Tribolium castaneum: one gene and its partner. The main gene of each other region encodes a partner of the protein of the gene in region 2 in a complex. Links are inferred from orthologs where the notes say so. Each region holds a gene or a part of one and is shown on either strand. Other genes may lie near its edges.

Region 1 (10,840 bases), on a different chromosome or scaffold from region 2:
TTCGACACCCAAAAGTCCAAACTCACCAAAAACAACTTCGCCCTAGGTTTCTCCACTGGAGACTTCATTCTCCACACTAATGTGTAAGTGATCAGTGGCGCACTCACAAGTTTTTTGAGGGGGCCAAACATTAATATTCACAAATTTGTATAAAAATTTAAAAACATCTTCTTCGTGGACTCAAAATATGTAAAACTTCATCACAAATTACTTCAATACCGCGGTGGATTTATAAAGAAATTAAACCATTTAATCTATTTTGTCCTGTAGTGTTCAATTTTTTCCGAATTTAAAAATTCTGTAATATTTTTGTAAATCTTTCTTCTAAGTTTGAAATTGCTGAATCTAAAAGAGGGTTGAAAATTGAAATTTAATAATACATTTCTGGCGAATCAAAGGTTACATTGGTTCGATGTATTTGCCTTGAAACTAATCAGAGTACCAAAATTTCGTGTAAATGATTTTGGACGGTTTTAAAAGAATTCAAAATGGGATTCTGCGTCTTTTCGTAATAATTTTAAAGAATAGAACAACTTTAAAGATTTTTTTGTTTCTTTTACCGTTTTATCCAGAAAAAAGTTTACTGACGTTTTATTTTTATACACACCTACTTACGCGACGCATGTTTGTTTTTTTTTAATGTATATATAAACAAGTTTAAAATTTAAATCATGTAACCCCCCCGGGTGTGCCACTGTAGGTGATACCAACCTGACTGTCCCAAACCCCGCCAGATCCCGAGGGGCCCTTTATCTCCCTGATCCCCGTTTAAATCCCCTTTTGTAACGTTTAGTGATCACAGCGATGACGGCCAGGAGTTCGGAGGGTCCATTTATCAGAAGTTGTCCCCAAAGTTGGAGACCGGCATCCAGTTGGCGTGGTCTGCTGGCAGCAACAACACCAAGTTCGGAATAGGGGCTAAATACGACTTGGATCAAGACGCCGCGATTCGCGCCAAGGTCAACAATTCCAGTCAGATCGGTTTGGGGTATCAGCAGCGTTTGCGTGAAGGTGGGTAGTTGGGGGAGGTTGGTCGGGGGTTGATTGGCTTTGTTTGGTTGGCAGGTGTGACTCTAACTTTGTCGGCCCTCATTGACGGCAAGAACTTCAATAACGGCGGCCACAAGATCGGTCTGGCCGTTGAGTTAGAGGCTTAATCAGAGATTCGTCAGTTCCAAATTGTATTAGAACCAAGACACGTTTCAGCCTGCTGTATTGTAGATATTTTAATTGTTCTATGGGACTTTTTAGTATTAAAACATATACATGAATACGTCTTGTATTTTCAGTTTGTAGTAGTTTTAGTGAAGTCGTCCTTTTGTTACCGTTTCCGGATACTTCTCAAAAAATTGCTACTTCCCACACGTGTTTTTTACTTGTGCAAGCTTTTAATTCAATTGTTTTATGATTATGACAAGTATTGTAAAACAAATAAAATGTAATTTACAAAAGACACGTTTCACTTAAGATCCATCTGCTCCTCCATCACCTTACTGATCCATTCGGGCTCGCTTTTTGCGATTGATTCAATGATTGAATTCACCTGGTAGCAGAGAGACTGGATTTGTTTGTCCCACTGGGGCAAAGTTTCACGAGCTGGAACAAAGCGATCAAATACACATCGTAAACAACACCAGCTTTAGTACTTTCAAAGTGGACGATTGAATCGATTTGGTCAATGTAACCGTTCATTCGCCCTTCGGTTATCATCTGACTTGCGATTTTTTCAGCCTTGGAAGGGTGTATTTCGAGCAAAGCTCCCAACTCTTCGAAACTAATATTATTATAAAGTTTACTAGCAGACAGGAGATTGTGTTCGATAACGGCGCGGTCCAGAATTGTTGACCCATCAATGGTGCTCGCCTTTTGGTGGGGCTACAATGAATCGACAGTTTTATAAGAGGTCGCTTAACCTTTGCAACATTGTGATAATAAAGCGTTAGTTAATTCCCGTTAATTAAGCAAGTGATAAGACCTGCAATTACGGCAAACAACTCATGCATCACTGTGTTTACAAAGTGTGACGATATTAAACAATAAAGAGTATTATCCTCAATTAGTTGCTCCGTTGCATCACATTACTTTTTTATTCTCACACGTAAATAACCTCGTGAGATGTTATATAGATGATCAGTTTATTATTAGATTTCTGGAATCCGTCTCGGCGCGCATTATTTCGACGTAGACAAATATCGACGTCAACAGTATTATGAAATTCATTTTTTGTAAATAAAAAATCAATTAAATAAATATGAAATCAATTAAGAACTTTAATTAAATCGTTTTTATTGGTACTAAACCTAAGTCAAAAGTAGACAAAGGTTAAATTTAACGCAGCTTTGCTTAAATTAAACTCACAGTGGAGTTCATCGGCATTTACAAGGAGGAAATATCAGTAGATAACTTAACACACATTTCATTTTTCCCTGTGTGAACTATTTAAAGCACATGCATTACACAAAGTGTAACCGTAATCCGGCTCTGATTAAACAGAAACCTAAAACGTGCTAAACCAGCAATCTTATTTCACCATAATACTTTAATGAGACAAAAAAATGTTCCTAAAATGACATCGGGAATAAATCATCTGAGAAAAAAGTTAGGGTTACAGTGAAACCTCCCATAAGCGGACACCGACATGCTTTTTGTCCGCTTAATGGAAAAGAAATAGCAATTTATATATAAAAACAAACTAAAATAAAAGGCTTCGCTTTTCACAAACGTTACACTTCCATAAAACATGTACTACCTACTTATGTGATTCCCCGATTTTTTTGATCAATTGTCATAATAACTATTAATCACACGCGCGTATGATGTGCTGTCCGCTTAAAGGAGATATTTTGTTTCCAAGGATTTGAATTGCATTGTGCGCGTCCGTTTATTGGAGCGTCCGCTTAAAATACATTATCTAAAAAAAGGCCCGTTTGTCAGAGGGGTCCGCTTATCGGAGGTGTCCCTTAAGAGAGATATTACTTGTGTTGGTATTTGAATACATTCATCTTCATTTTATGATTATACGTTTGTAAGGGTGATAATTAATAATAATAATTTTATTTATAATATTAATAATAATTAATAATACTGATTATCAAATTAACAAATGGTATTAGTATTTTTATTGCTTTTGCAGATTTTCTTTAAAACTTGTTTCAATCAATTTAATTCAAGATGATACTTTTATGTCAATAATTTTTCAGTATTTAATTGTACAAAGGACTCAAAAAAATACAAATTTATCATAGTTATGCAACTAACAATACAACACTTTTTATACACGTACCTGCAACAAGGCCTCAAAATCCCTCAATTCGGACCTCCTGATGATTCTTTCGAGGTACATTTTTTCCAAAATCGCCACTGCTGGCAACTGTTGGCACCTCTCGTCCTTGAACAGTGTGGCCAACATGCGCGATCTTTGTTGCCCCGCTGAAGCCAAAACAGTGCAAACTAAAGCATTCCGAAGGGCTGTCATGCGTTCATCTTCATGAACAATCGTCCTATAGGACAATTCATTGTATCTCTGAGCCGCCTCAATAAACTTCCGCCGATAATCCAAAACTCGAGCATAACAAACTTTGTAATAAATTTGAAGCTGCTCATTCCGTGACTCGGCCTGAAGCAGCGACGCCCGGTTGATGAAAGCCTCAGCCTGGACCGGATCGTCATCCTCAAGATACAACCTCGCGATTTTCAAATACGTTTCAAGTTTGTAATCCACGGTGTATTGTTTCTGGCCGGTTTCGAGCGGGATTCCCACCAGGACAGCTGCAGCCTCGCGCCACATGTGGTTACGTTCGTAGATATCGGCCAAATGTTGGCGAATACTTGCCACCTGCTCCTCAAACGAAATAACCCGGGGTTGCACCTTCTCAAGCATAAAGTGTGAGACAGTTTTGGAAACATCGTCGGGTAGTTTCATCAAATGCGAGCTTATTTCGGTCAGGATTTGGCGCGAGATGACCAAACTAACGTTCTCATTGACAACTGAAACGACTTGAGTTAGACTGGGTTGGTGGCTGTGGGGGGTACGGACTTGCTTCGATGAATATCTGCAAGCCTTCGGTCAGCTCGGGGCCCGAACCGGCGAGGATGTTCTCAAGAATACCGCGATATCTGTTAAAAATTAATGTTTTTTTTAATTTTTTTTACATAACCTCACTTTTCGGCCTGGTCTTTGTGGGAGCCCCCGGACGCGATTATGTTGGAGAGTTGGGTGCGGATAGCCGCGCTTTTCTCCGACATGGTGCTCCGCTACTATTTTGGCCACAAATAATAATAAATTATTTTAATTTAACTAAAAGTAGTTTTTGACAAATGACTGACAAAACAGCAATTGCCAACACAACGCTATTGCCGGTTGTGGTAATTTTGTCTAAAAAACACACTTGCAAGTAAATTGTTGTCTTTGCTCTGTAAATAAATACTTGCGACCAATTGCAAGTACAGTTTACTTTAATTAACGTGTGAATAAGGGGTTAAGGGGAAGACGATTTGATTTAATAGGTTGGCTGCACGTGTTGAAGTCAAACTCAAACGTCACGGATGTTTGCTGTCACCCGCCTTTAAATTAGTCACTTAATTAAATTGCAATAAACAGAAATAGTCCAGTGTGAGTGCGAAAAATGCCTTCTCCGCAACAAAACGAGAGTTCCCCCGAGCCCGGTAAGAGAATTCGTTACTTTCGTCGAAAGTCCATGCTCATTGTTAGCCCCAGAGACGTCCACTTCGAACGACAATAAGGAAAAAGGGGCCACTGTCAACGAAATAATGGTAATAGACCCGGACACCCTTGAGCTGGACCTAAACCATGGCAGGATCAGCAAGCTCGAAAACCTTGAGCCCTTGACACAAATCGAGCGCCTCTTCCTGAGGTGGAATTTGATCACCAAAATTGAGAATTTGGACACGTTAGTCACGCTCCGCGAATTGGAATTGTACGATAACCAAATCGTCAAAATGGAAAATCTGGGATGTTTGGTTAATTTAGAGTAAGGAGTGACTCATTTGTGAATGTTGCGAAATATGGCTTTAAAAGGATTCTAGATTTGTCGTTTAATCGTATCAAGGAGATTGAGGGACTGGAGAATTTGCACAATTTAGAAAAACTCTTCCTGTCGTCGAACAAAATCAGCAAAATCAAAAATGTGAAGCACTTGCAGAAGCTGACAATGCTGGAGCTGGGGGACAACAAAATTAGGGTAAGTGTTTATCCTATGGAGGATAATAACTTAGGAGACGAAACTGCGCCGTATTCCCAGCGTTTTGATAAATGTTATCGCTTAGAATTATCAATTTGCGTTCCACCTTATATTTCTGCGAGCTCTGCGAATACAGTTGAAGATACAAAAAAAGTGTAAGGAACAAAGTTGTAGAGAATAAAATTTTCTACAAAAAAGTCCGCGACACCATATTTCTATCTTTAATAGTTTAGGTACGAATTAACTTTCCAATACTTGACCACCGGCAAAATTAAGGAAATCCGTTGCTTGAGCGTCTTTGAACGACTTTGGGGCCTAAATGGTTCAAGATAGGAACATGGTCTCGCGGACTTTTTTGTAGGAAATTTAATTCTCTACAATTTTCTTCCTAACATTTTTCTTGTATCTGTAACCGTATTCGCAGCGTTTTGAAAAATATCTGACAGAGTGCAAAATTGGTAAAAGTTTACGATAAAATTTTTGCACTGTGTTTATCTCTGAATATTGAGAATTTAATGCTATATCTGCCTGTTTTTTTTTGTTTGCTATGTGTGAACAGTAATAAAAATACAACCATGTTTTGAAATGCGCCCTCTGGCGACATTAACGGAGCTATCGAGGACGAGAACGTTTTATTTGTACGTCGTTTCATATTCTAACCTTTAGATCTTCGTAGTTTATCCTTTGAGTGTTTTCAGTTGTTAGTCATAATCTGTGACTTCTAAAACCGTCCTAATTGCAGGACATAGAGAACCTGGAAAACATGCCAGCCCTGACCCACCTCTACTTGGGCAAAAATAAAATATCAAAAATAAAAAACTTGGACAGTCTGACCAACGTGACGTGTCTGAGCCTGCAAAGCAACCGAATAACGCGTATCGAGAATTTGGATAAGCTCACACAATTGACCGAACTGTACATTTCCGAGAACGGAATTCATAAAATAGAAAATCTTACGCATAACACGTTGCTACAGACCTTGGATTTGGCGAAAAATAAAATAAAGTTGATTGAAAACATCGAGCATTTGAACGACTTGGAGGAGTTTTGGATGAATGATAATGAAGTTTCCGATTGGGGAACTGTCGAGAATTTATCGAAGAACAAAAAGCTGGCTACAGTTTACTTGGAGCGGAATCCGCTCGAGAAGGACCCGATGTACAGGAGGAAATTGAAGATGATCGCGCCCTCTCTAACCCAGATCGACGCGACTTTGTGTCAGTTGTAAAATATTGTTTTGTAAATTAAGGAAACCACCGTTGCCATCTGTGCATTTATGAGTTGATTAGCTAATGAGTAACGATTAATTTTAGGCGTCTAATTATAAACCAATCACCCAATTGTGAAAATCGGTTTTAATTTTGATAAGCCCCTGCTACGTAAAAATAAACCAAATAACAATAAACCCGTCGTGTTATTTCCGTTTGAAATTGAAAGGTTAGCAAATTTGCTGGCACCTGTTTTGTTCTCCAGTAGTTTTAAAAATAGCCAAGCTGGATAAATTCTGGGTTTGTGGGCCAGTTCCTGCGATTTTTCCCATCCAAGCTGACGCGTCACAATGAGCGAGCAGTTCGTCCTGCGATGGCACTACCAAGAGCTCACCCTCCTCAAAAACCTCACCACGTTCCTCGAAAACGACGTTCTCACCGATGTCACCATCTCGGTCGAATCCCACACCGTTAAGGCGCACAAACTGGTGTTAGCAATGTGCAGTGTGTACTTTTTCCAGCTGTTCCAGGTGAGTTTTCGCGAAATCACCGTCTATTTTTAAACGACATTACGCCCACTTGTAGGAAATGAGGGACACGCAGCATCCGGTCATTGTGCTGCATAACGTCGCCCTGAGCGACATTAAGGCCGTCCTGGCGTTCATATACAGGGGGCAGTGCGTGGTCTCCAAGGAGCAGCTGCCAGGGCTGCTCTCCCTGGCCAAGCTCCTCAAAATACAAGGACTATGTGATATGAAGGTTAGTCCCCAAAGCCCTAATTACTTATTGGCACCGTGGCCCGTTATGTAACCAAACGTAAACCTAGATTTTGTTAGGTACCTGAAAAACCCCAACTAAACGACATTTCAAGCGAAAAAAGACCAAACTCAACCGACAATGCGCACAAAACCGAAAGTTCGGAAAAAGCAACCGAACGTAAGCTCGAACGGCTTGTTGGTGTCCCCTCTTAATTTTCTTACAGATTTTGCGGAAACTTTCCTGAAAAACAACGACGAAGAAGACGACAGTTACTCGCTTCCGAGTAAAAAACATGCGAAAGACTTGTCTGAAACTTGCAAGTGCTTCCTTTGTGGCAAATACCTCAGTAATCAGTACAATTTGCGCGTGCACATGGAGACCCACGAAGAGGCTTACCATGCCTGCCAGTCTTGCCCCCACGTGTCACGAAGTCGGGACGCTTTGAGAAAACACGTCTCGTACCGACACCCAGAGGAGTACCACACCAGGAAGCGCAAAAAAATAACTTGAACTTTATCAGACAGCTATTTATTCAATATAAACAAAAATAATACTTTTTAGATTATAGTATTTGGATGATTTAGCAGATTTTTCATTCATCATAACACTCCTCGATTTAAATATTTACACTATTAGAAAATCAATACTTGAAATAAATTAATTGACACGTCGGTTAGGCCCGCCACTGCATCACCCTACTGTATGTAATAAATAAAAAAGCTTTACGTTAAATGCAAAAAGGCCATTTAAAAAAATTATTAGAACTTGGTGATGGTCCACAATTTCGTGTTGCAATCCTGCCCCACTGAGACCAAAGTCTGGTCGTCAAGCCAGGCTAATCTAGTGACTTGACTTTGAGCATGAGCGTCTGAAAACAACCCTTATTTTCCGCCCTTACTTAACACAAACTACTCACTTTTGATTATAATATGTTTGGCGGGCTTTTCAACAGACCAGATAATGATACTCGTGTCCAAACTACCACTAGCGACTAGCAAAGAGTCGGGCGACCAAGCAACGCTGTTAACACGCGCGTTGTGGAAACCCCATTCTTGATTGGTGGCGAGCTAATAACGATTATTGTAATCAAAAACGCGAAAAATGTGTAAAAAGCAAACAATTAAAATTTGGTTATTACTTACATTCTGTTCCGAATGCGTGCAACAATTAATTTCATCAATGGTAACTACAGACGCACAAAAACTTACCTTGTATTCAGGAACACTATACAGTACGACTTTTCTGTGGGCATCACAGGCCACTAGATACTTGTCATCGGGAGAGTAGGCAACGTCTGTTACGGCACCCAAATGGTCCAATTCTTGCAAGGGTACCAACTCTGTGCCTTTCAGTTCGTATAAATGCACCTTGTTGTCCATGGCACCACCCACAGCCACGTGACCCCGCGGCGAAACGCTGACACTTGACGGTTCATAAGACACCTTCAATTGTTTTCGTCAATAAGATAAAACAAATGCTTTCAAAAAAAGAAAATCAGCAAAGAGCGACTCGTCAAAACTTTCATACAGGGTGGCTCACCTAACACTTTCGAGCTTTTCAATTAGGAGCTAAAAAATTAAGTTAAAAAATTCTTTTATTTAAAATTAAGCCCAATTTCTATTATCAGATGATTAAATCTTGAAAAATAGGTGGCCACACAAAAAAAATATTTTTTAGTACAAGTTTAAATGATTTAACATTTTAAGAAGGCTTGTAAAAATGACGTTTTTAAGAATTGAGTTGGATTATATCTAATCTTTACCTTCTAAAATATCTGATTTTTAAATTTCATAAGAATCCGTTGACAAATAACTGAAATATCGGGCTTGAAAGTCTTAGGTGAGACATCCTATTGTAAATTTGATAAACTGAAAATTTTAACAGTTATTATTTGTATAAATGACAGTTCGCTGTTTAACTAATTATGAAACTTGTCACTTTACTGAATTTCTCATTGATCTCTGACTGAAATGAAGTTGGAAATATTGAATTGTTGGTGTTGGGGACATTTGATAGTCAAGTTTGCCAACTTAATTTTAAAGCCATAGACCACTGCTCGAAATTGACTGTTTCAAACCTTCAAAGTGCTTGCTTTCCTGTTATCTTGCGAGACGGTGATTTCGTTAACACTCGCTGTGACCACCACATTTTGCTCTTTTAAAATGTCCATTCCGCGAGGTTGCGACCCCAACTTCAAATCTTGCCCTTTGTACGTGTTGCCCTCAATGTCGATTTGTTTTAAAGAGTCATCAATACCACAAGTGTACAAAGTACCACCATGTACCCTCATCCCATTGATCTGGTTACCATGACCCACGCCCTCAACCCGATCGTTCTCCCCAGTTTCGGCGTTCCATCGAGTCACATTACCATCATGCGACCCGGTAAAGATCGTACCACGATCTTCGCTCAATTCTAAGACAGTGATGGGTTTATTGTGCCCTTTAACAACCCGGAGCGGCTTCGTTGGGTCATTAATATCCAAATAATTAATAAAACCACTCAAAGAAACCGTGAGCAAGTATTCGTTTTGCCATAAACACGAAACCTATAAAATATTATATACTTAAAAGAGGACGTTAGTGGGCGTGGCTTAACCCACTTGTTGATCTTCAACTGTCGAACCTAGGACGAATTCAGAGACGACTTGTCTCGTTTCCACGTCCCACAATTTCGCAGTTTTGTCCCCACTGGCTGTTAGCAATTGTTTACCGTCGGGACTCCAACTAACCCCATACACGCCCCCGCTGTGGGCGGGGCTTCCCACTTCCCCCACCAAATCGGAGGACGTACCATCGTACAGAAACACCTTACCATCGAACCCAGCCGAGGCAAATAAATTACCGGTGGGTGAATAACGAACGGCTTGCACAAACCTGCTGTGCTCCTGTAAAAAACAATCACGTGACGTTGACCAAAATCATAGCCACCTATGGTTACTTTATGAACAGGTATTTCCCCCCAAATTAGTTTTCGTCAAGGACATTTCGATTATCACGCAATAAAAAAAAAGGTAAATTGGGTCAAAAAAATGTGAAATTGCGTTAAAAGTGGTGTTGGTTTGTCAGTTCAAAGCTAGTGTATTTAATTTTGTGGGTTGGCGACACGAGTCGTGGCCTCCTTACCTGCTTGGTCATTTTGAACTTAAACGGGGGCCCCTCGAAAACCGCAATGGTGTTGTCTTCAGACCCCGTGATGATTCTGAAAGGTCTCGTGGGTTTGAAATCGCAGGAATTGATGGGTTTTGATTGGCCTGAGATTTCGCCAACGGAAGTTCCCGTTTCGGACATGAAAACATGACCGAAGCGTTCGCGGCCTTCGCCAACCACGACCATTCGTTGGTTATCAGGGGACCAAGCGATATCTTTGATGGGCCCCCCGATTGGGTGAAACTCATTTTTAAGGATGTGCTCCTTGTTGACTGTGTCCCAGATTCTGACTTTGCCCGATTGGTCTAGAAATAAAACCAGTTTGTTTTAATTTTCGGGGGCTCCAGTGTGTTGATTTACCTCCAGAGGCGATGTAGAAGCCGCTAGGGGAGTACTTGGCGACGTTTACCGGACAGGAATGTTCCGTGTAGACGTCGGCAATTGCAGGGTTCTGTAACAAACCAATTGGAGTGGGTTTCTAAGGGAGGAAAGGTTTTTTTTACTTGGATGTTGCGAATGATCA
Region 2 (10,109 bases):
GAAAAAAACTGATAATATTTTATTTTATTTGATTTTTAGCCATTGTTGTAAATTAACTACGTAATCTGTGACAACACTGATTATGTCTTATGTCGAGTCAAATAACGGCCTTGTAAGATTTTTATTTTAAAATTATTTGCCTTTATTACAAATTGCGAACGCACTGCAAAGCCAGACATTTATTAAGTTTTACGTTAACATGACATTTTTTTTTAGAAAATTACAAAACACCCGAATTTTTATAACTTCATTAAAAAGTGTTGTGTTTTATTTATTTGTTTATTTATTTTTTTTTATTTTTTTTTGTAATAAATAGTTCAAGACAAATACGTTTCTGTTTCTCATAATGAATATTGAGATTTGAACGATTGTGCTAATGCTATGCTATTTTATTGTACAGGGTGATGTCCGAATACGGGATCTTCGAAATTAAGAGGTTTAGAGAAAAACGAGTGACACATTCTCGGGTCCGTTTTTTGAGAAAATAATTTTGGTCAAAACCGCATCCTGCAATCGTCTTTTGTTTTCGACTTATAAACAAAAGTTAACATTTTGGTGAAATCTTAAAAAATTCATATCTTCCTTATTATAAAAGATACAAATTTGAATCAAAGTACTTTTTTACAGAGAATTTAATAATGTTATCAGCGATTTTTTTTAATCATTCGTTTAGCTGTAATAACATAAAGTTGTATTTTTTTAAATGAGAATCATAGTTGGCTATAACATTTTCGGAAAGCTTATTTTTTTCTGAACTCAAAACAATATAAATATAGTTTGATATTTTTATATGTTTTCGATAAAAAATATATTTAAAATATTTGAAAGTAGTTGGCCATGGAAAAATTATTTCACATAAAAGGTGTGAATAATCTAGAAATTTTGTGAACGGTTATTAAAGTAAAAAATGTGAAATTATAAAAATAAGTTAAAGTTATTTTCAATTGAACAAATATATGAACGTCGCAGATTTTAATTACATAAAAATGTGCAGACAATTGCAAACTATGTCTCACTACCACTTGATGCCACTTTTTTATGATTAAGTGCAATGGAGGTGACGTTGATAATGTTGTGTATTTTTTTACCGCAGATGGAATTTGATTTTGGTGTTTGGATTGACATTTTTTTGGAAAATAAAATTTTATTGATACGCAATCATACAATTAATAAGATTTTTCTTCTTCCGACATTTCTTGTTTAAAATTGGAAAATAGAATGACAACGTAAGCTTGCCATTTTAAATATAAAAACAAATAATTTTTATTAATTGCAAAAATTTGATCTCATAAAAATTTATTATGCTGTTTTTGAATTAATTAGCGTTTAAAAAATCATTAAATTATAAATACATGTTGGATAATACAATTTTCATAGTTTTAATTAAAAATCCAAAATTTTTTCATGGCCTACTATATAAAGAAAAAGCGAAATGTTTTGTTTTTTCTTAAATATTTTAAATTATGTATTACACAAATAGACATATCAAATCAGAAAAAAATAATCTTTTCGAAATTGTCACAGCCAACTATGATTCCTATTTAAAAAAATATAACTTCATGTTATTACAATTAAACGAATTTTTGAAAAAAATCGCTAATAACATTAGATTCTCTGTAAAAAATGCCTTTATAAAGTCTTTGTTTCAAATGTAAATGTTTAATAATAAAGAAAATATGATATTTTTAAGATTTCGCTAAAACGTCAACTTTTGTTTAAGTCGAAAACAAAAGACGATAGCGAGATGCGGTTTTGACCAAAATTATTTTCTCACTCGTTCTTCTCTAAACCTTGTCCTGTATTCGGACAAAAAGTAGCACTTGTACAACTTTTGCTGCGAAAATACGTACATTTAGAGCCTCCATGTCTTTGTGAAATTCTTGTTCCCAGTGCTGTGGTAATGACGTAAAAATCGCATTGTCTGTAATTGTGGCCCCAAATTTACAATCCAGCCAATCAGACAGTGGGTCTTTACTCCGCACTATGTAATTTTTCTTTGCGTTTTCAATTTTCGTATTATCACCACTTTTGACCGCATTTTCCAATTCTTCAACCGATTTAGTGAGACTAGTTGAAAAATTAATTTAATCATCTATATACAAAAAATGCCAAAATAGCTTACTTGACTAGAAGTTTCTCATACATTTGTTTCTTATCGGGATCAAAGGCATTTTGTGTGGTCTCAGCCAATTTCTCCAAAACCTGTAAACCCCCGTTACAATGTGACCACCACAAAATACAAACAACCATACCAACTTTGCGTCACTTAAAACCTCCTGTAACGACCTCTCCTCCCCAACATACCTCTCAAACAAGTAGTTCTGACGCGCCCTTTTTATGATTTTATCGTCAATATCCGTAATATTCATCACGAAAAAAATATCATAACCGAAATAATCGGCAAGGACGCGCCTCAAAATATCAAAAGTTATGTACGATCTGGCGTGCCCCATGTGCGAGGCGTCGTAAACAGTCGGCCCGCAACTGTACCAAGTCACTTTTTTGCCCGAAATCGGCCTAAACACCTCCTTCTGACGCGTCAGACTATTGAACACTTTCAGGACCGGACCGCCAGACGCCTCCGGCGCCGACCACGGGGGCTGCACACGTTTCGACATAACCTAACTCCAACCACCAAATTTGCAATTATTTAACACACCAACACCAAAACGCACTCTTCGGTGTTATCTAGCGGAAATTAAACTGTGATTGCATCAGAAGAAGGCACGGAATTCCCACAAAATCGGAATCAGCGGCCACAACACCACACAGTGCTGCCAACATGAAACGGCACCGGCGGCTCTTGACCCCGATTGGGGGCAAGGAACGTGCGACACGTGGCGGGTGAAACCCCCACATTAAATTATGGGGCGCAATAATGTAATTTTCGTAGTTTAAGCAGCAAATTTAGTTAGTTACTTGACGTGGTATTAAAATAAAAATCCCCAACTAGTTCCAAAATTTTTATTCTTAAATTAATCGCTACAAAACAATTATTGTTGGTTCAACATTTCGAGCTGTGCCGCTGTGACGTTCTTCATCCCTTCCTGGACCATGCTGAGGTTGCTTTTCCACGAGTGGAGCAAATCCCTCAATTGTTGCCACTGGGCGCGCCCAAAAGTCCTATGCATGGTGCTTGAGACGTAGACTTTCCGAGCGGCTTGGTCCATGCGGGCCCTCACCAGTTTAGTCTTCAAGACTTCGATAATAAACGCCTCGACCTCCTCAGCCTTGATCTGCAACTCTCTCTCAATCACGTCAAAACTGATCTCCGGGTTGGTCTCAGCGAGTTGCATGAAGGACAACAACCGCATCTTTTGCATGTTCTTCTCGTGGTTCAACCCCTGCGACGTGACAAACTCCTTGTGTTCTTGGTAGAATTTCAAATACGTTGCCAAATTTTCGCTGACAAAGATATTAAGCAAGTCGTGGATTAGCTCCCCTTCGAGAAATTTGACCGGCTTTAGGGCCAGTAAGGGGTCGAGGAGGAAGGTGTTGGGGTCCCCCAGGGCCGAGACGATGCACTTGATCGCGTCCTCGCGGGCATGCGAGGCGTTCTTATCGGTGTAGGTCCCCAAAAGTTCGATCATGACCTTGGCAGCCTGCTCACTGTGGTTGCTCTTTAGCAGCACCTGGTGCAACAACCGGTACAGAATCTGCAACTGCTCGCTTGTCGGTGGACACGGGGCGAACTGTTGCTTCAAATGCTCGATATCCTGGAACACCGACTTGACCTGGTCCGTTTTCTCCGCAATTAAAATCAAGTGGTAGTAGACGTGGTAGCGCATGGGGGACGTCTCGTCAAGCGACTGGAACAGCAGCCACAAGGCGCGCAGGCACACCAGCCCCAGTTTGGGGCCCTGAGCCTTGAGCAGCTTCTGGCAAAAGGCCAGGATGATGTTCTCGGACCGGTCGGCCGGGATCTAAAACACGTCCAATACCACGCGCAAATGATTCGAGACACTTACAAGCACCATGATTGAGACAATGTCGTTGAGCACCATCTCAACTTCGGGCTCCTGGCCCTCCTTGAAACAGGCCTCGCATACGCCGATTATTTTGTGTAGGTCGTCTTCGATGCCCTTGACTGATTTTTCCTCCGAAATTTCAGCGCCTAAACTTTTTAAGTAAATGCGGAGCTCTTGCGCCTAAAACATAACCTCAAAGTGTCATATGGACACAAAATGCCACAAATGGGCGCCTACCTGGTCCTCGGGACTCACGTCGATAAAGACAGGGGGCACTTGCATTTTTCTACAGTTAGTTCACGGTTTTTTGCAATTTTTAACTGTTTTAAGGGGAAAAACCACACCGCAAATTTGATGGTTATGTTGGCAATGCGCATGCGCAAACGCCAAGTTGTTACTTTTTTAAATTTGGTGGCCAAGTTGGCCACAAAAATTAAAACACCGAATAATTAATAAAATTTATTATTTAATTCAACAAGTCGGTTATTTGTTGGGCGTTATTTGGGTCAGCTGTCTCAGTTGTTTTAGGACCGTTTCCAGTAACTTCTTCTTGTCTCTTTCGTTCTTTTTCAATACTGTGAACATAGTTTTCTTATCGCCTTCTTTCAATCTACAAGAATCAATTAACTTGTGGTTTAATAACCCGATTTGTTACTTTTCGAGCAATACTATCGCATCATCTGGATTGACTTGCTTATATTTGCTGGTTTCTTGCCCATAGTCGTGGAAATAAGTGGGCCAGTCCCATGACGTGAACAGGTCTAAAGTCTCCCGTAGTTTGGTAAAATACGACAAGAGGACGTCCTCTTGTAGGCCTTTGACGGGCTCAGAGGCCGCAAATTCTGTAAAACTTGTTTAAATTTCCGGTTATCATTTTTCGATTAATTACGTTCACACTGTAGTAAATCTAAATTGATTTGGTTTAAGGCCCCCATGGAAATTTGCTTGATCTCGTCATTCATCAACAGTTGAAACATCGAATTGGCAATGTGTTCACACGCCGACTTACACGCAACTTGCGCCACCTCCGGCTACAAATCACTCGATAAAAAATCAACAAAACCAATCAACAAACCGGTAAATTGGTGAAACTCTGAAACGTCGTCTGGAGGAAAGCAATCAAATCGGAGATGTAACTAGAGGCGTGTCCTGACGGCTCACCCAACAGCCAATCATAACTCTCCAATTCGTAAAACTCGTTCAATTTTTGGCGCAATTTTTCGCAAATTTGGCGCACGGCGTCTTCACGAGCCACGCGGAACATGGCTGGTTGGCCTTGGACCACTCCCGTGGACACCCCTCGAGACTCCTCCCTAAATGTTTTGTTTTTATTGGCGGATTAATTTTGTGCCCTACCCTGTAATATTTGAAATAAACTGGTCCAAGTAGACCGTGGCTTCCTCCAAATAGCCCGTATCGATGATTATTTGGATAATTTCCTGAAGATTGATGTGCGGGCTACGAAACGTTGACGACAAACAACCGCTAAACGTCCGCGTCAGGAGCAAATTCATCGACTTGCGGATCATTTCGTCGACTTCCACTTGACTACAATTCAGTCACAGCCCACTTCGATTGGAATTATTCAACAACCAAACCTTAAATTCAAATCCTCGGAGAATTTCAAACACGCGTAAATAAACTCCTTGACTTGTTGGTAGACCTTGGGCACCATCCCCGAAAAGGGGAACTTGTGCGGGAAAACCACATCGTTGGGCAAGTCCTCGTCCCATGGAAACGACGACAAAATATGCTCATACTCCTCGAGATCGTACACTTGAATCGGCTGAAAATCCTCCTTCGAGAGAATTTCCCGAAAGACTTGCACCCATCTCTGCATCAAAACTTCGGTATAATGGTCACGTAATTCACGCACCAACTCCCACAACGGTTTCACCGAATAACCATAATTACGCAAAGTCGTGCAAAAAAGCATGATCAAGTCTTTAATGCGCAGGATCAAGGTGGCGTCGGTACAATACGCCTGAAATTTTTTTCATAACCGATTGAGTAAACAAATTTTTCGGGTAATTATACCGAATGTGTTTGCAAAGCACTGACGATTTTTGACAACGCCATCGTCCACATTTCGTCCAAGAAGGCGCGGGTTATGAGCCCGTTCCCGGTGTTTAACACGTGATCCTCCAAAATAAAGAAACCGAGGACGGCGTGAATGTAGGCACGGTAGCTCTCTTCACACTCGTGCTGCGGGAACAAAAGACGATCACGATACAAGTCACAGCCGACTTACCATATTAGTGGGCGGCTGTAAAACCAAGCGGGCCTGTTTCGTCCTTTCGGCCCTATAGTACGTCTCGAAAGTGGCCCTCGTATTAAGCACTGTTGAAATATGCAAACTGCGATAAATCGGCGAAAAATCGATCAATTCTTGGGCACTTAAATCCTCCTCAGAGAAGTGACCAACGCCGTCACCTAAATTACAATATTTAACAAAAAATTAAATACGGAATTAAATCAAGTGACCTGACGGTTGTGGCGCTATTCTTTTTTTCTTGCGTCCGATGACTGTGGGGTCACTGGCCAACTGTTCACTAGTCTACAATTTCATCACTTTCAATAAGTAAACGAATGACAGAATCATAGCCTCCTTGATGGGCAATGTTTAATCATTAAAAGTTACGTATCCATCAAGGAGGCTAATAATCGAGTTAAACTGACGTGTTTCATGGCCACTTCTCCAATTTTCGGGGAAAATTTGCGAATATTTTCCAGAAAGTCCTTCAAGTCGGACATTGAGGCCTTTTCGATGCTTTCCCTAATCCTGCAAAAGTCGGTATTGCAGGACACTGTAACCGTTTTTTTTTGACTCACTTCGGTATGCTCTCCCTTAACTGGTAAGAAAAGCGATAATTGGCCACGTGGAGCAGGTGTGAGTGTTCCAGCTCCTCTAAAGTTTTCAAGGCGGGGTAATAACTACAAAATTGTTACAAGTTTGCCTAGTTTTTGATTTTTGTTACCGTTTTTCCGCGATTTGTTTTTTTAATTTGGAATAAGAGGTCAAAACCGGCAAACAGAGATTAAGTTGGGCGATTACGACGGCAATGTTGCTCTGGACTTTGCGCGCTTGTAGCAGCTCATTGCCCGATTTTGAGATGTTTTTTGCTGCTTGGTGCAGTTGGGTGTCGAGGGTGGTGACCTGGCCCTACAATTGGTGTGAATTTTGTGCTAGGATTGTGGCAAGTTTTACGTTTAGTTTTTTGGCGTGGTTTCGCACTTCTAACAACTCTCTGATTGCTTCAATAAATCCCTGATAGTACACATTGCAAAGGCGTTCAATGTCTTTGTTGTGGTGTTGGATGCGTTGGTCTAACTTCTCGCGGAACTTTACGTTCTGGTCGTTATCATAAATTGCCCTGAAACTGGAAGTGAAAGACCGAACTTAAAATTTTACGCCCACCTAAAAGTTGGGCCCCAGTAATCGTCAACTCCTTCGATTTCTTGCAGATACAAGTCGTATTGCGAGTTTTCCCCACTTTGGGGGTCACCCATGGTGGATTTATTGTGTTTTTTTGATTTTTAAATAAAAAAATCGTAATTAAAATTGTGAGGTTACGTGACGTGACAATTGACACTTTGACACTGCCACCACACCGACTCGAATATCCCTACATTTCAAATTATTGATCCATTTATTTTATTTCTTTATTATCGTACAAAAAATTATCTAATAATACTCCGGGGTTTTGCAGAACGGTAGAAGACACAAGATTCCAGTCACAATCTCGACGAATTGTAGGCCGACTTGTATGCCGCAAATAATGTACTCAAATCTCAAAGCATGGCTTTGCCAAATCATAAAATACAAAACTCCAGCTAGTGAAGGGATCGTCAGGAAAATTGCGACCAGAACTGGCCATTCTGTAAAAAATCAAGTCCAGATAATGTTGGCCCAAAAAACCACTCACTTCTCTCGGTCAGGTTGCCCTTCCTTGCCAAAATCACCCGAAACAGCTCAATCACGCAAACAGCCATCAGAATACCGAAATCGGTGGAAAAGTGCTTCAAATCGGGGAAATTCATGTACTTTACCACGTTCATCCCGATCTCACAAACGGCAAACAGGCCGAAATAGTACGAGTTTAAGTACAACAGCACTTCGAAAGTCAGCGAGGTGTTCATTAGGGGCTCAATTGTGCTCAATTAAGCCGAGTTTTTTAATATAGAATATAAAACAAACACTTGTTTATGTGGGTATTGATGGGGCAAGAGTGCCAACACAACCACAAACAAACCCTGGCGATTTGGGGAAACTAATCAACATTTCGGTGTTTCCAACGATTTGAATTACTGTTTTTTCATTAATTAAGAAGTTAAAACACGTTATAGAGGAATAAAAACGCAATAAAATTAAATAATTCAGTTAACCAATCGTCGGTTGCCATGGCAACGTCTGTTGCTATGGTGATTATCAGGGGCGTACTGGGTCAGAAATCAAAAATTGGGAACGTTGAAATTTGGGGAACAATTAAAAGTGTTTAAATTCTATCATCTGAGAGCTTTTTCAAATTTTTATCGTCATTTATTTTGAAAATACAAGGCCAACTTGATTTTTTTAATGGCACGAAGGGTCAAATTTATTCATTTTCAAAAGAGATTTTTTTTCTGAATTCAATGATGTAACATGATACTACCTTTACTTTTATTAAAATGTAAAAAAATAAAAATTCAAAAATTTTCTGGAATAGTAAAACAAAGTTGGCTTTGAAAATACTGTTATTAGCGATGCCTGTCACTTGAATATTAGCCAAAAATTAAACTTGGCTGCAATAATTAGTTTAATAATAGTACATTTAAGTAAAACTGAGCGAAAAAAATCTCATGTTGGTTTATCATGGAGACAGAAAGCCAAGAAGTTAGTGGAAATCAGTTTGAACATCGTTTGTAGCATAAAAATCAAGTATTCCGTGTTTAAAATTTCTTAATTAAAACGTTAAAAGTGTTATTTTAACAATTATTTTTAGCTTTTACTTATTTTTTGGTTAATGAGCTAACGATAGATAAAGACAACATTTCCAAGGCTAACAAGATTTTACATTTTTCAAAATTTTCGATTTTTTTTAAGTTTCGATTAAACCAAGGTATGCATGTGTTATACGATCGAACTCAGAAAAAATGCTCTTCCCGAAAATATTAAATTTGACCCTTGTTGCTATTTAAAAAAAAAACAAGTTAGCCTTGTATCCGAAGAACAAATGGAGATAAAAATTTAATAAACATCTGAAACGATACAATTTATATACTCTTAAGCATATACCAGATTTTAATAAGTTTTAATGAATAGTTTTTCTAATATTTCTATCTTCTACACTTTAGATATAAATTAATTTTACGTCATCTTTTTTTATAAAAATTCTAGTCAGTGTTTCTCAGCCTGTTTTTTCATTTTTTCCATGTATTTAGTGGATTGGTTTAGGGTTCAGAAAATCGTCTCAATTCGCCTCCTAACTCATAGTCCTCCGTAGCCTTGGCCAAAAATACAAAACACAGTCCATTCCAAAATCATTTATTGTTAATAAAAATATGAGTATTAAATCTTGTCGACTCGCCCTAGTGGTAACACTGTAAAACCGGCTACAAGCAAAACGAAGACTTGCCCAAACTTAGCTAAATGAGAGTGCATTGAAAACGCGAAAGCCAACGGTTGCAGTCCAACACCAAGCAAGATGCCAGACTTGCGTGAGCATCTGAACGAATTAGGCAGTTTCAGCGGCAGTTTGTCGGAAAAACAGACTTAATATCCAGCCAAATCGGCCATAGTTTGGTCCATTTCGTCGGCGATCGCTTTGTATTTGGTCTTCTCGTCGACAAGTTCATCTGGAAATGTTAGTACGGTTAGAGTGTTAAAATAAGGTAAAAAGGGTGATCAGTAACTCAATATATTTTGCTTCCTGTACATACAACACGTAACACAATTACCAAAATAAAAAGACAGAGTCGCTGGAAGAGAAACGATTGATTCTTTACAAGATAAGTTCGACGAAAGCCGTGTCCAAATCGTCGCCGATTTCCTTGTAGCGCTCCTTCTCGGCGACGAGCTCATCTGCAAGTAAAACCGTGACAAAAGTGCGACCAAAAGCGCAACTGGCTCGGTTAATCCACACTGAAACGGTCAAGTCATGC

Evidence for each region.
Region 1: eIF3m (region 2) and CSN4 share a complex: the UniProt entries of both Caenorhabditis elegans proteins name them as parts of the CSN complex. The link is inferred for Tribolium castaneum from reciprocal best matches to the Caenorhabditis elegans genes cif-1 and csn-4.

Annotation. Positions count from the first base shown.
Region 1 is NC_087399.1:5,885,056-5,895,895, reverse strand, and holds CSN4 (COP9 signalosome complex subunit 4), read right to left. Parts: upstream 6,760-10,840; 5' UTR 6,742-6,759; coding exon 6,659-6,741; intron 6,607-6,658; exon of another isoform or gene 6,430-6,606; coding exon of another isoform or gene 5,944-6,429; intron 5,202-5,943; coding exon of another isoform or gene 5,039-5,201; intron 4,992-5,038; coding exon of another isoform or gene 4,718-4,991; intron 4,666-4,717; coding exon of another isoform or gene 4,626-4,665; exon of another isoform or gene 4,511-4,625; intron 4,386-4,510; exon of another isoform or gene 4,246-4,385; coding exon of another isoform or gene 4,163-4,245; intron 4,117-4,162; coding exon 4,037-4,116; intron 3,988-4,036; coding exon 3,284-3,987; intron 1,876-3,283; coding exon 1,647-1,875; intron 1,597-1,646; coding exon 1,460-1,596; 3' UTR 1,367-1,459; downstream 1-1,366. Other genes in the region: voltage-dependent anion-selective channel, read left to right, coding at 1-83, 794-1,011, 1,066-1,157; sds22 (protein phosphatase 1 regulatory subunit 7), read left to right, coding at 4,626-4,665, 4,718-4,991, 5,039-5,201, 5,944-6,429; longitudinals lacking protein, isoforms H/M/V, read left to right, coding at 6,760-6,939, 6,995-7,168, 7,246-7,345, 7,392-7,678; flr (actin-interacting protein 1), read right to left, coding at 7,927-8,036, 8,085-8,235, 8,377-8,610, 9,246-9,716, 9,771-10,055, 10,294-10,622, 10,678-10,768, 10,821-10,840. UniProt on the Caenorhabditis elegans protein: Component of the COP9 signalosome complex (CSN), a complex involved in various cellular and developmental processes.
Region 2 is NC_087400.1:751,345-761,453, forward strand, and holds eIF3m (eukaryotic translation initiation factor 3 subunit M), read right to left. Parts: upstream 4,381-10,109; 5' UTR 4,251-4,380; coding exon 4,206-4,250; intron 4,149-4,205; coding exon 3,969-4,148; intron 3,924-3,968; coding exon 2,994-3,923; 3' UTR 2,951-2,993; downstream 1-2,950. Other genes in the region: CysRS (cysteine--tRNA ligase, cytoplasmic), read right to left, coding at 1,851-2,067, 2,123-2,202, 2,253-2,618; Sec15 (exocyst complex component 6), read right to left, coding at 4,452-4,578, 4,624-4,810, 4,858-4,999, 5,044-5,281, 5,325-5,516, 5,567-5,952, 6,006-6,173, 6,220-6,401 and 6 more; transmembrane protein 80, read right to left, coding at 7,654-7,847, 7,895-8,108. UniProt on the Caenorhabditis elegans protein: Component of the eukaryotic translation initiation factor 3 (eIF-3) complex, which is involved in protein synthesis of a specialized repertoire of mRNAs and, together with other initiation factors, stimulates binding of mRNA and methionyl-tRNAi to the 40S ribosome.